Lytechinus pictus: one gene and its partner. The protein of the gene in region 1 purifies or fractionates together with the protein of each later gene. This does not show direct contact. Links are inferred from orthologs where the notes say so. Each region holds a gene or a part of one and is shown on either strand. Other genes may lie near its edges.

Region 1 (7,366 bases):
ATGCTGCCGTGAACTTTGAAAAGTCGTACTATTGACGGAGCTAATTGCGTTACTCTCTTACATCGTTTATGATGATTTACATTTTATTTTCAACCTCGTGGTGATAGCGGACCCCGCCGTGAACTTTTAAAGATCGTGCTACTGACGGAGCTTATTGCGTTACTCTCTTACATCGTTTATGATGATATTCATTTTATTTTCAACCTCATGGTGATAGCGGACCCCGCCGTGAACTTTTAAAGATCGTGCTACTGACGGAGCTTATTGCGTTACTCTCTTACATCGTTTATGATGATATACATTTTATTTTCAATCTCGTGGTGATAGCGGATGCCGCCGTGAACTTTGAAAGGTCGTATTACCGACGGAGCTCACTGCGCTACTCTCTTACCCCCTTTATAATGATATAAATCTTCTCTTCAACCTCGTGGTGATAGCGGACCCCGCCATTAATTTTTAAAGACTGTACTATTGACGGAGCTTATTGCGTTGCTCTCTTACATCGTTTATGATGATATTCATTTTATTTTCAACCTCGTGGTGATAGCGGATGCCGCCGTGAACTTTGAAAGGTCGTATTACCGACGGAGCTCACTGCGCTACTCTCTTACCCCCTTTATAATGATATAAATCTTCTCTTCAACCTCGTGGTGATAGCGGACCCCGCCATAAACTTTTAAAGACTGTACTATTGACGGAGCTTATTGCGTTACTCTCTTACATCGTTTATGATGATATACATTTTATTTTCAATCTCGTGGTGATAGCGGATGCCGCCGTGAACTTTGAAAGGTCGTATTACCGACGGAGCTCACTGCGCTACTCTCTTACCCCCTTTATGATGATAGACATCTTCTCTTCAACCTCGTGGTGATAGCGGACCCCGCCGTGAACTTCAAATTGATTTGAAAACGCTAGCTACCCAAAACATTTTAATAACATATTTCAAATCAACGTGCGTGCTTGCGTCGTCTACTTCATTTTAATTGCACTTGCGACTTTAAGATGATGCGTCGTAAGAGATCATTCCAATAATTCTAAATCGCTAGCACCTAAAAATACTTCTAAAAGATGTCCCGCCGATCGTTCATTAACCTGTGATCTATGAGAAATATTTTCATTTTATTTTCCTTTGCGCCTTCGCTCGGAAGATGCGTCTTTCGTTTATCTTTCTAATAAAAATCACTCGGTTATTTTAAAGCAATAACACCTCAAAACCCCTGGCTTCAAAACATGTTCCAAACGATCGCGCATGTTGGCGACTTCCATTCCAATGCATTCGTCTTTGTGACTTTGTCAGGAAGATGCGCGCGACCGCGAACAACATTTTGATGTATTCCTTTGTTTTTAAACATCGCCGATTCGATTTTCGATTCGATTTCGATTTTAGAAGCTTAACTGCCGATCCGATTTTCGATCTGATTTTTGATCCGATTTACAACATTAGTTATACATGTAGAACCCTGTCATTTAAAAAGTTTAATCTTTAAAGGACAAGTCCACCCTGGAAAAATTTTGATTTGAATAAATAAAGAAAATCAAAGAAGCATAACGCTGAAAATTTCATCAAAATCGGATGTAAAATAAGAAAGTTATGTCATTTTAAAGTTTTGCATATTTTTCACATAACAGTGATATGCACTACTCAGTGACATGCAAATGAGACAGACGATGATGCCATTCACTTACTATTTCTTTTGTTTTTTATTGTTTGAATTATACAATATTTCAAATTAACAGATTTGACAATAAGGACCAACTTGACTGAACCATATATAGTAAAAAATGCTAATTCCACATGTTCAGGGAGGAATCAATCATTAATTCACTTGGCAATGAGAAAAAAATAGAATATTTCATATTTCATATAATGAAATTCAAAAGAAATAGTGAGTGTATGACATCATCAGTCTCCTCATTTGCATACCGACCAGGATGTGTAATGTTTTGTGAAATTAAGCGAAACTCATAACTTTCTTATTATAATTTTTACATCAGAATTTGATGAAATTTTAAGTGTTAAGCTTTTTGGATTTTTCTCTTTTTATTCAAATCAAATTTTTGTTTGGGGCGAACTTGTCCTTTAAAGATATTATTGTTAAACATGCTTTGGCTTCATTGTTTGTTGAATATATTAAATTTATGAAAGCAATCTTTAAGAAAACTCTGCACTGCACTGGGACATGCAAGGTTTTCATCTTCATCACCGCACTCACTGTCAGGTTTCATCTTAAATGCAGATAGATCGACTAGATTTAGGTCCTAATGGAATGTCTTTTTAACATTTAGATCTAACAGTTTAGTTTTTTTCAAAATTTTAATAGCTTAAGCCAAATGGCAAAGGACACCAAAAATAAAATGAACATGCAACTGCAGAGACAAAGCATTCACTGTCATCCAGACAATAATTTGTACATCAAACATAAATCAATGAAAATGATCTCATTTGGTTAAATGGTAAGGAAACAATCATCAAATCACAATTGATCAATGCATATTTTCATTTTGCAACAATGTCAATAACAATACTTAACAATCTCCGAGTCTGACTTTTTTTACTTTAATTTTACTTTTTAGTAGGAATTGATGAACAAACTGAACAAGTATTCACTGTCTAACTGACAATTCCATATTTACATAATCACAAAATACGACACATCGTTGTAAAGAAGAATAATGATAGATTTCGATTGCACTATTTTTGTAATTCAGAGTGAAATTCATGTACAACTCAGTAACAAAAAAGTAACCATCTGCCGGCATCGCTTATTAACTCAAGTGGATAACTACATAACTTTGCATATGTGGGACTGCGTTTGAACAAATGCGTGCACTTTCAATCGTGGGGTAGATTTATTATTTCTCACCTTGTGCATCCTTCCCTTTACTCATTTTAAGTTGAAATGTGATGAATTTCTGAAGAAAGGATTGATCGTGATAAAACTTCAGACATTTCCAGTTGCAGTCGCGTCGATGCAGACGAGAGATTACAATTCAAAGTTTCAAATTTCCCGCAAGATCGACCTAGCTACATGGGCGCGCGCGATGCATTGCGTAATCGTAACATGATTTTGCCAAATCTGGGATGATGCCTGGATGATGGTGATGGCGATCAAGAAAGGAGGAGAAGAAGAGGAAGAAGAACTTAAAGAAGAAAAAGATGAAGAGGAGGAGGAAGAAGAAAAAGTAGATCGAGGACCCGGATCGAGGAGAAAGAAGAATTAAGATGTTATAAAAAAAGAAATAAAAATGAAAATGGGATGGGGGAAGAAAGCAGGATCATTTCAAAGGAGAAAAGGAAGAAGGGTCGACTTTGTTTTTGGATGGTATGAAATTCTATTCAGACTGGAGGTATATACCCGGCCCCGAAACGTTATAAGTTTAAATGGATATAATTATCTACATGTAGGTACATATATATTTGTACTATGTAAACACTTTAAAAATGGAATGTCATTGCTCAATGGGTCACAAATTACTTTATATCCCAACAATTCAGTGTGATTAATATTCATGAAATGTAGTCTATAAAATAAACCCTAACATTCTATTGACCCCATCCAGGCCCATCCCTCACTCAGTATTGATTGTAAGCTTCTGCCAATACAGCTGGCAAGTTATGCAAGTGCTTCTTGATCATCAGAACTTTCATATTATTTAGCCTTGTTTTTTATGAAATTCTGAATTCATGTATGACAGGCCAAAACCATTTATCTTGTGTGCAGCGAGATCCCATGGGGTATGTGGAAAGTGAAATCGTCCGTTTTTTTTATCCTCAATATATCCTTGCCACTTATTGCAAGTTCTTAAAATATATGCGTTCTCTCTTTTAACTCTCTCCACCCAATGAGGAGTTCCTCAAATTAGCCCCCCCCCCCAGCCCCTCCTTTAATTCCCTTTCTCTCTTCCTCTTTAATTCTTCCCTCTCCCTTCCTCTTCCCTACTCCAACTATCTCTCTCCAGGGGTGGGGGGTCACTGCTTTTGAAGAGTGGACAGCATCTGCAAGAATAGTACTGAAAAAAAAAATTGCCTAAACAAGGATTGGAGGGCAGATGTCCCAGATTTGAACACTCTAAACAGGGATTTATGAGCAAGTGTTCCAGATTTGCAAATTACTCACTCGCATTTTAGGCCACTGTGATTTAGGGGGCCTTTTTTTCCATGCCTTTCTCCGAAAACACCCCTTGTTCCGTGTTTTTTCTCGCTAATGCTGTCCACTCTCCGATGGCAGTGATATGCCCCCCCCCCTCTCCCTGGCTCTCTCCCTCTCTCTATCCCCTTCCACTTTTCAATTAACTTGCATACAATTATAATCATCAAATAGAATAGAAGTTGATATGAAAATTAATCACAGGTGACCTTTTTGTATTCTATACATGTAATATGAAATATTGCATTTTTTTTTTAAGATTTGACTGTAAGGGTGCTCTAAATTGAATCACAACAAAGGAAATTACACATAATCATGGAGGAATTGCAGCATGTTTGATATAACAAAATACAAAATAGTGCATGGCTAAGGTCATCAATAATCTTATTTTGCAATTTGCATATAATTGCTATGTCATGAAAATTTTGCACATTAACATTGTTGGGGTGGACTTGGCTTGTAAAGTTCCCCTTTTTAAAATCAATCGTTATGCCATGGCAAAGTCTAATCAAGCATCTAGAACCATGTATAAACCCTTAGCAAAACAAGAGAATTTGATTATCTAATTATGATGGAAAGTGTTACTATCTATACTTAATTCTGTGGATTATTATTTCTCACAATGGAGAACAAAATAATGCTTTCTCATATCCTCACATACTCTTCAATGAAATAGCCTGAAAACATTTTTAAAGTTTATATTTTATTGCAAATTTATAACAAATAAATAAATTGGGAGGATGTTTGACATCATCACAAAGAAGAAAGTTTAACAATAATCTGTGCTGTTTAGTAATTGATTTTATGAAAGCCAAACAGAAGAGTGTCTGGACATCCACCCCTCTCCCCCCCCCCCCCTCCCCTTAGTTCTTAAGGCTCGAATATATACACCATGACAAAGCTCAGAAATAATTTCTGGTTAAAGTCAATTGGGATAACATGAAGCAAAAAATGTCAATAAAGCAGCTATAGGATGAATTATTGTTGTCTGGCTCAGTGCAAAGAGCTACAGTATAGTGATATCATTATTCTTTCCAAAAACAAAAATGATAGTTGAGGCAGATCGTTTGTCATTAGTGGGGTAATTTGTTTCACCATGTAGTTGAATAAGAAATGGGGGTTCTGTGCACCATCGGAGAACATTTTTTAACGAACTTTTCGTATTACCTGAAGAGTATAGTAAATTAATCTTGATGTTCCCTTTGCCAAATCGTGTCCCATGGGGTTCAAAATTGGTAATTTCGACAGTATCTTGGATTTTTCATGAAAACCAATTATTTTCATATTTTTTTACACAGACAATGGGAAAATCTTAAATGAATACGCTTCTTACTATGATTCATATAGTGGGAATTGATTACAATCGTTCTCTGGACAGCCCGGTTGTTATTTTTCGAAAGCCAAAGGGAACGTCAAAATTAATTAACTAGTCATTTCAGGCAATACAAAAAATTGGTGAAAAAAAATGTTCTCTGATGGTGCACGGGAACCCCCATTTCCGACTAAACTAACGTGTGAACACTATATATATATGGAAAGGGTATATAATTCCATTTGAAACAATCAGAAAAGCGAAACAAGAACAATGATCCTTGGCAGACTATTAGCTTGAATAAGGTAGTTTAAATCATGTGAAGTCTAATACGGATTTCAGATGAGCTGATCTTTTGTCTTCCCATTTCTCCTCCTCTCCTACTCCTCTTCTTCAACTATTCCACAGACCACATATTATCCTTCTCTTCCTCATCATCTTCCTCTTTCTCCTTCTTATGCTTTTCCTCTTTTATTTGTCATATTGTTCTATTAAATCCATCTCCTCCTTGTTTTCTCATTGATTGTCATCTCCTCCTTCATTTTTCTCTGTGTTATCCTCTTCCTTGTTCTTCCACTCTTGCTCCTGATACTTCCCCATCACTGGACATCCAAATTTGCTCTTCTCAAAGCTAAGAGTCCATTTACAATATCTTGAGGCAGCATCCGTAACTGAGCAAACTCTTCCGTATTTGAATACCTCAGCTTGGTGCGCGGGTCTGTGTATTTTGCCTGGAAAAGAACATTCAAGAGTAACACATCATATGTGAGACAATTTTTTTGAAAGTACAATTTTCTAATTGCATTTTCAATGTAGTAAAAAATTAATGGTCGAATTTGCTACTCACAATGACCCCTATTCATAGTACACAAAAAGAGTAACTTATTTAATTGTGTTTTGAATATCATACCTCTTCTTTGTTAGGAAGAGTAATTCACAAATATCGTACTTAACAGACCCCCTTTCCATATATGAATATCATTTCACTTCTAATATTATCAATAATCATCCCAAATAATAATGTCACTTTTATCAAATTTTAAATAGTGACCATTATGAAAAAGTATTTTTTATGGAAAGTAAGTATACATAGACCCTAATTCAGGTAGTGATATTCGTAAATCCTAGCAAAGTCAAAAAGCATCTCAAGAGAAGTGTCACATACTTGTGAAATTACGATGAATCGATAACTGAATTCTAGAGATTATTACTTACTGGCAAACCTGAAATATCAGAGTATTTCTTTGGTGGTTTTCTTGAAGGTGGTGCATCAATGCTGCTATCTGTGTTAATGGAGAAAAAAAAACATGTGTCAATAGTAAATCCATTATGTAATATCTTTCAGTTTGTTTTATTTCTGCATTCCAGCAATCAAAGAATACAGAAATATATGGTTTTAATGTGACCTTGTGGTTTAAAGTTCAGAGAATTCCACTGATCAGTGGTTTAACTGTTTGGTACATAGATATATGTGGGTTCTGTGTGATGTAGTATTGAAAAAGTAGTAGTTTTATGTCAAATACTCCTTCCTTCCTTTTGTTGTTGTTGTTGATGTGATTTAGCAGTCCTTTATGTGTAGAAATGGTAGTGTATAAGTTGGAGAATGGTTGTAGATTACAGCTTGGATTAGTGGTGTTTTGGGTGTAGTTGAGTAGTGGTTTTTAGCCCAAACACAACAGTCACACCCTGTCATTAATTTGATTTTGTCCAGAAGAGGTTTTATTTTTATGAAATGTCCATTTATTCAACCTCGACCTCTATAAGCAATCATAGTCACAAGTCAACGTTATTACTAAGATTTGTGTATCTGGGTCCCTTATGTAATAATATCCCTCTAAAGGGCCCTATCTTTGTAACTTACATGTTGATCCTACTGGTCTATTGAGTTGAACTCTTTCTGAGG
Region 2 (7,917 bases), on another chromosome or scaffold:
AGGTGTATAGATAAGTAAAATCACAAACATTTACATGATTTCTATTGTCAAAGAAGGATTTCCTAGGAAAATCCATACATGTGTCTCTTCTATATATGGGAGGCGGTTCAAGGCTTCGTGATCAAATGACAATATCAAAATCACAATATGATCATGGAGTCCTCAAGGGCAAGGCTAGGCCAGCGCACAAGCTGCAGATACCGGCGGTAGGCCTATCTACTACTACTGAACCCAGAGAGCTCCGACCCTCGGCCGCAAAGCAGGTCGGAGCCCAGGACTCGTCCGTGTAATATTAGGCAGATCAATACTCTCCAAAATGGGGAAGAATGGGGTCTTCTTCTTCCGTTGAGTACAGTCCTCTTTAGACTTTACAGAGTATAGTCTTACTTTAATAATAGCAATAGCAGTAATAGCACTCCAAATAAAAGGGGAAAAAATAAATCATGCACTTATCGATTATAATGGAAAAAGGTCTATCGTGACACAGAATCCTGACATCGAGGCACAAACTGGACCCTCTAAAAAAAGGAAAAGTTAGACTGTTATGTCGCGTTCGTTCTCTGTACCGATCGGCCATTTTGTTTTCAATTCAATTTTGAAAGGAGAACGAACGAGACAGAACTTTTCCCTTTTTTTGAGGAATGAGGGTCCAGTTTGTGTCACGATAGACCTTCATCCATATAATCGAGGTAAGTGCATAATTATTTTTTCCCCTTTTATTTGGAGTGCTATTGCGACCCCATTCTACCCCATTTTGGAGAGTATTGCTCTGCCTAATTTACACGGACGAGTCCTGGACTTGGGGAGTGTTTCATCAACATTTTCATCCGACAAGTTGTCAGATCTGACATCTTTCTCTGATGTTGATTGGCTGAGAGGTTCTGTTACTATGGTAACTGTCGGATAAAATGGGACTTGTCGGATAAAACGTCCGACAAGTCCTTTCATGAAACGCTCCCCCCGGGCTCCGACCCGCGAAGCCCACTTGTTCACTGCAACCACCCTGCCTGTGGGGAATCTACAGGTTGGACACCCATGGGTTCATATCGTCTCGCGTACGAAGGATATCAGTCATATGCACGCCACACACGACACATCCAAAATATACTGGGCTTTTGCCCACATAAAATATCACGCATAATCTGGTATTTCACATTCTGCTATGACACTTACCGAATCATTTAGATCCTTCCGTGACTTCTCCTTGAAGTTTCTTTTAAAAAATATGTATATTTTCTTGATCTTTAGTGAAGATTTCATGGAGATAAAAATTGGTCAGCATGGATATCAATATTCGCCTGAAGAGGGCGCGCGATTTATATTCATATCAAAGACACGACAAGGGAAAGACTAGGCACCTACACTATTTTACACGCAAATGTACGCAAGGCATTACGCGAAGTCCGTGAAGTGTCCAATCTTTTCATTGTATAGACTTTGGTATAGTGCCATATTATTTGACGTTCGTTAAAGCTTGTACTGCTGGTTTCGTTCCAGGCATGTGTATTTTTTTTTTTTTTTTTTTTATCAGTCATCATTTTAAATTAATTGCAAAAAAGTGTTATCATCGCCAATCTTGAATTATGTTTTTGAAGGTATTTCATTTATTGGTGCCCATAATTAGTAAATTAATCATAAGAATTGCGCATTCAAAGAATTTAGACACAGTTATAAAATTACCGAGGAGCTGAATCAAGGTTGTGAAATTTATTAGCGCCACCAACGGGCTTCCTTGTATTTCCGTAGAAGAGACAAACGAAGTCACTTGCTAGGCCGAGGTAAGCAAAATTTGCTCTTTTTGTAATGAAATTACTTCATAATCATATGTATAATTTTTTGATGTATTACTATTGCTACTTATCGGAAAGAGCCCCGGTGCGTAGCGAGAAGGAGTTTCGGCAAATATTACTTCAGCAATGAAGTGATGTTTGCCGACTACTTCGAAATCCAGGGTCAAACACGGTCCCTTGTACGAGGTTAGTATATATACTAACCTCGTATTAGTGTGAGTGCAAGTTGGACTATGGCTAACCCAGGGAGCTCCCGCCCGCGTAACAAAAATGGCCGATCGAGACGGGGGTAGAAGGAGAGAACTTTTCGTTTTTGGAGGTTCCAGTCTGTGCCCAGATGTCAGGAAACTGCCACTCGTTAGACCTTTATCCATATAATCGTGGTAAGTGCATAATTTCTGTTTTCACAATTCATTTGGAGAAATATTTAGACCATAAATCACCCTAGTCCCGTGAGTATGGTAAAATACACGGTAAGCCCCTGGGCTCCGGCCCGCACAGCGGGCCGGAGCTCCCTGGGTTAGACTGTCTATGGCATGTCAATGCTGTACAGAGTCGGAGCACACACTTAAAAAAATGATTAAAATATCACTTTTGTGACCAAAATTACTAATTTCTATACAGTTGCAATTTATTTTTCATTAGTAACTTGGGAATAATTTTTGTATTCACTAGAGCGCACAAAAAACTTGAATTTTGGGCATATTTTTGTGTACGCCCTCTATTGGTGGAAAATAATATGGCAAGAAAATTTTTGTTTTTTTATCTCTATTTTTAATTAAGAAAAAAATAATTTAAAGAATCAAATTTACTTAAGCCAGGCTTAACTTCACTTGGCCAAGTTGTATGACGAATAGGTGTAATGGAATCTGTCAGTGTAAAAAATCAAGCATTTGTCCCAAAGAAAAAGAGAAAATAAGCCAAACATTGCCATCGTTATTTTGCTACACATGGTCATGGAGATATATAACTGAGAACAAGGTTATATCATAACCTTGTTCATTGATGATTGAATGAGTGGCCTGGCCCTGGGGCTGGGTTACTGGAATCTGGATGGTGACTGCGCTGGATCGATCTGGAGACGGAGACAAAGCAACGAAAATTCTCGCAGCGTTCTTTAATACTTTTGAGCCCACTTCTGTAATTTTCAAGCCTTTAATAATATAATTCCGTATTTTTCATTTGCTGTGCTATTAATAAAACGTGAAATACTCACCATTTTGTAAAGGGCCTCGGTTGCTCTGCCTGGCTTGGGCTTGGCCGTATTCTTTTTCGAGTCTCGCGCGATTGCAAATAGTATGGAAGGCCAATTGTATAGTATAGTAGAATGTCCCACATAGCTAGCTAGGGCCATAGGGGGTCGGACGTACATATTTTTATGGGATTGCCCTTCTATATGATAAATTGGCAGATTTTGCATTTTGCAGGGGCCGCGGAACGGTTTTCAAAGTGGGGGGGGGGGGGGAGGCTGAGTATGCTAAAAATCACAATCATATGGTCATTTTTACGTTTTAATGTACACGGTTTTGGAAAAAAGTGGGAGGGGGGGGGGGGCTGAAGCCCCCCAGCCCCCCCGGTTCCGCGGCCCCTGTTTTGGAATGGTGCCCGATCAAAATAGAATATCTGCGTATCGTTTATGTAAAACACTTTCTGATATCCTTATAAAAAAAATTGAATGGTATACCATTGAAATACCATACACCATACACCATTGAAACACCATTGATATACCATTGGAATACCATTCGCACAGCACCCATCATACACCAATGGTATACCATTCAAGCCCCAATGGTATACCATTCAAACTAATTTAAATAATTGGGACGTTACTATTACCATATTCATGAGCACCATTTACCAGTCATATACCATTGATCAAACACCATTCACCATTGATCTACCATGGCCACTATAGACAGGTTTACCATTGACCACCATTCAGCCACCATTCACTGGCCTACCATTTACCATTCAGCCACCGTTCACTGGACACCATTGGTCTACCATTCACCTTACACCATTCACCATACACTGTTGACCTACCATTCACCGTACACCATTCGCGTACCATTCACCGTACACCATTCACGTACCATTCACCATACACCATTCGCCTACCATTCACCGTACACCATTCGCGTACCATTCACCGTACACCATTCGCGTACCATTCACCATAAACCATTCGCCTACCATTCACCATACACCGTACACCTACCATTCACCGTACACCATTCGCGTACCATTCATCGTACACCATTCACCTACCATTCACCATACACCGTTCACCATTGCCCTACCATTCACCATACACCATTGACCTACCAATCACCGTACACCATTGGCTTACCATACACCGTTGACCTACCATTTACCGTACACCATTGGCCTACCGTTCACTGTACACCATTGTCATACCATACACTCTATACCATTGGTCAACCATTCAATTTACACCATTGGCCATACATTATAGACCACAAGTGTACTGTGAATGGTAGACCAATGGTTTACACTGAATGATAGACAGTAGACCAAAGGTGTACAATGTATAGTAGGCCAATAAAGTACAGTGAATGGTAGACCAATGGTGAACAGCATATATAGCTTGGGTTAATGGTAGGTTTGGTAATGGATTAAGTATGCACAAGAAAAAAATGATGAAAACAGTTATTTCAAGAACGTCAAATGTTTTTACTATAAGAAGTTTAAGTACAGCATAAATGGAACACAGCATTCACAAGTATAGACTTTATAATTAAAGCACATAAGTTATGAATATATATGACTTTGCTCCTCGTTGACATCTATACTCTGTCAATCTTGGTATCTAAAATAAACATGTATCAAGACAGAGTTTAATTGAAAAACACAACATATGAATAACATTTCCAAGAATAAACATGTTCTCTCTGATGGCTTTTTACGTGGATTGAGTACTTGGCAAAACCACTGTTCTGCAAACAAACCTGATACTTGTAATACAATAACCTTGATTTTAAATCTGTTGTGTGTAATTGCTTTCACACAGCTACTTCAATGACATTAATAAAATATTTTTTTTACTAATAAGTTCAAGTACAAAAGAGTGGAACCCAGTATTGACAAGTACATGTATGGCATAAAAGCACCAGCATTATGAATACATGTGACTGCACGACTCTACAAGAGGTCAATGATTGCACTCCACATAGATATTATGTTAATCTTCCTATAAACAAATCTAAATGTAAGACAGAGTTTGGACAACAAACTGATGAACACCAAATTTCGAAGATTAAACTCAAAATGTGTGATAGCCTTCACATGGCCAAATGATTAAAGGTAAAGAGTACCAAACTTAGAGGAAATAAATATCCCCAAAAGGGGGGAAAATAGTACCCCCATAAAAATAGAACCTCCTAATATTTCTCTATTTTCTTTTCACCTAAAAGATATATCAAATGGCGTGTTTCTACATAGAATCGTTAAAAGGTATTACCCGCGTAAGTATCCAGAATCCCGGAAAACTTTCCTGTAGAATTTTGTAGAAACAGACGCGATGCGGTTTATTGATAAACTGCTTCAAGCAAAATATGGTTTCTCATAACCATCTCTGAGAGGTGGTTATTGCCATGTTAATCCGTTTAACTTTTCTGTAAAAACACACGGCAAAATAGCGTATCGTGTCTGGCGGAAGTGCTTAATCCCAAAAGTGCAATTTCGCAGTACATAAATTTGCACATTCTGGCCTTTTCGATCTCACCAGCTGATCGTGCAACACGTATACCTGCTACATTGAGTGAGATCTACCACAAATTTGGAATATTTTCCTAAGAAGATGCAATTTTGGACATATGTACAATGCAACGTGAGGTTATAGGTTGAATTTTCCGATTTCCGCCGTATTTGCAACGCGAAAAGCGAGTTAATCAGATTATTTGGTTTGTAGAAGCAGGTTGGTTTAAGGGCGATAAGGTTTTTCGAGTCCGGAAAAGATAAATCCTTTTTTAATGATTTTCTGTAGAAACATGCCAAAAGTTTATCATAAATACATTAAAGATACTTAAAGGAATAAATAATATCTATATCAAAAATAGAATATATAGAATAATAGAATAATAAAGAATATATCATGAAAATAGAAAAAAAACAAGAAAAATAGCGACATCTTTTTTTAATATTTTGCAAATCATATAGAAAATAATTCTTAGTAGCACATCTATTTTTTAACTATTTCCCATTGTTCAAATATACAAGATTCCCACTTATTTATTTTTTGTCTATTTTTGTTGTGTTGAATCAGATGAATAACTCAACTATGTGTGAGAAATAATATAATTTTTGTCTTACACAGTATATCAGTAGTCAATCGTAATTTTTTACAACCTAGCTTGGACAAAATTTGAATTCATATAATACAAAAAAATATATAAATTGGGATCTTGTATATTCATGAGGACTTGCAGAGAACAGTTTTATAAAAAAATAACAACTTTAATTCGTCATAATTTTGTTAATCCTCATTCAATTTTGATGAAATTTTCAGTGTTTTTTTTTGTCTGATGTACTCTTTGAATTTAAATCACATAACTTTCAGTCTAGAGTACCTAGCCCTTCAATCAAATGGGTTGGACGACCGGTTACATTTTACATATAACATAGTTATAAGGAGAATGAAGGGTCCATAGAAAGAAAGCATGAGGAAAGGGAAGATTTAGGTAGGAAGAGAATTAATCAGAAAAGCATAATGTTGACAATTTCGTTAAAATCTGATAACAAAGTCTTTGATTTGAAGGTTTAGCAACATTTTGGGAAAAATTACTGGAATGTGCACATGATCGTCAGGAATATGTGTTAGGCTTATGTTATAAAATGAAATCATAATAATTTCATATTTTCGTACACGTGTGTATGATATGTCCCACGTAGCATAAAATGATTTCAAGCAATGCATGTGTTTACATTAAATAAATCTTCACTCCACTTTTTAGTTCTTGGAGGTCAAAATATGAATAAACATGACTTCTTGTTATAAAATACAAAAGAACAAGTGGGAGTATGACATCAGCTTGTTAACTGTGGGTGCGTCGTGGTCTAGTGGTTCTGACTCTCACCTTTCAACAGAGTGTCGTGGGTTTGAATCCTAGCAATGGTGTTTTCCTTCAGCAACACATTTATCCACTGTGCTGCACTCGACCAAGGTGAAGTGAATGCGTACCCGGCAAGATTAATTTCTTGCAGCTGTAATAAGGAATATGGGATGAAAACAATGCAAAGGACAGTATGTCAGCTACGGGTTCAAAACATCAATGCTCGTGCGTGCAAGCTTTCTTGAGAAATTGATATATTTTTCTAAAATATCGAGAAATTTGCATAATACACTACCCTTCAATTGAATAGTACCAATTAGCAAATATCAACAAAACATTTTGTACAATATGATAAAGAAATTCATGTTTAACCATAGATTAGCAGAAAATAACCCGTTATATTAATGGGAGGTTGCCCAAATGATGACAAATACCATACCACATGCATACCTGGGGCCAAAGTGTCCACTCCCCCCCCCCCGCCAGCATATTGATTTTTTTCCAGGGGGGGGGGTGTTAGAAAGGACGTGTAATCCTATAAATGGGGATGACATTTGGTCTTTTTCAGTATTTTTACCATTCCTCACAATTTTTTTTCCAGCTATGACACTGCAGGAGTACAATCTGTTTTATTTAATGAAGCTTTGCAATTTTTTCCACTGAAGTGAATTCTTACACAATTACCTTTCACAAACTCCAGTTGTTTTCTTGTAAACGGTTTTCTGTGTTCAACACCTGTAGTTTCCTTCCCAGATAATCCTGGACCATCTATATTATCATCCAGTGTATCCGTCGTCCAATCTTAAATGAAATAAAATCAATTTAAGTGTTGGAAAATATGCATGTGCAGATAAAAACAAAAATATAATACTAATATAGTAAAACTTTCTTTAAGCTCCAAAATGCAATGATTCACTCATATACAGCATAATGATAATTTTTATTTCAACATATGCAGCAAATTCACTTGAAAATATGTTTGAAATTGATGTCACAGAAATAAAATTCCCCCACCAAAGATTTTCTGTGTGTGCATGCTGGAAATATATAGA

What was found. Proteins that work in one complex are often made in the same cells at the same time.
Region 2: the proteins of homologous-pairing protein 2 homolog (region 1) and meiotic nuclear division protein 1 homolog purify together in Homo sapiens (co-immunoprecipitation; 6 studies listed by BioGRID and IntAct, counting the BioPlex papers as one, with this or other methods). This does not show direct contact. The link is inferred for Lytechinus pictus from reciprocal best matches to the Homo sapiens genes PSMC3IP and MND1.

Annotation. Positions count from the first base shown.
Region 1 is NC_087257.1:29,332,377-29,339,742, reverse strand, and holds the start of homologous-pairing protein 2 homolog, read right to left. Parts: upstream 3,063-7,366; 5' UTR 2,893-3,062; coding exon 2,868-2,892; intron 1-2,867. Other genes in the region: mucin-2-like, read right to left, coding at 6,063-6,194, 6,679-6,746, 7,325-7,366. UniProt on the Homo sapiens protein: Plays an important role in meiotic recombination. Stimulates DMC1-mediated strand exchange required for pairing homologous chromosomes during meiosis.
Region 2 is NC_087246.1:19,389,992-19,397,908, reverse strand, and holds the start of meiotic nuclear division protein 1 homolog, read right to left. Parts: upstream 3,081-7,917; 5' UTR 3,010-3,080; coding exon 3,007-3,009; intron 1-3,006. UniProt on the Homo sapiens protein: Required for proper homologous chromosome pairing and efficient cross-over and intragenic recombination during meiosis.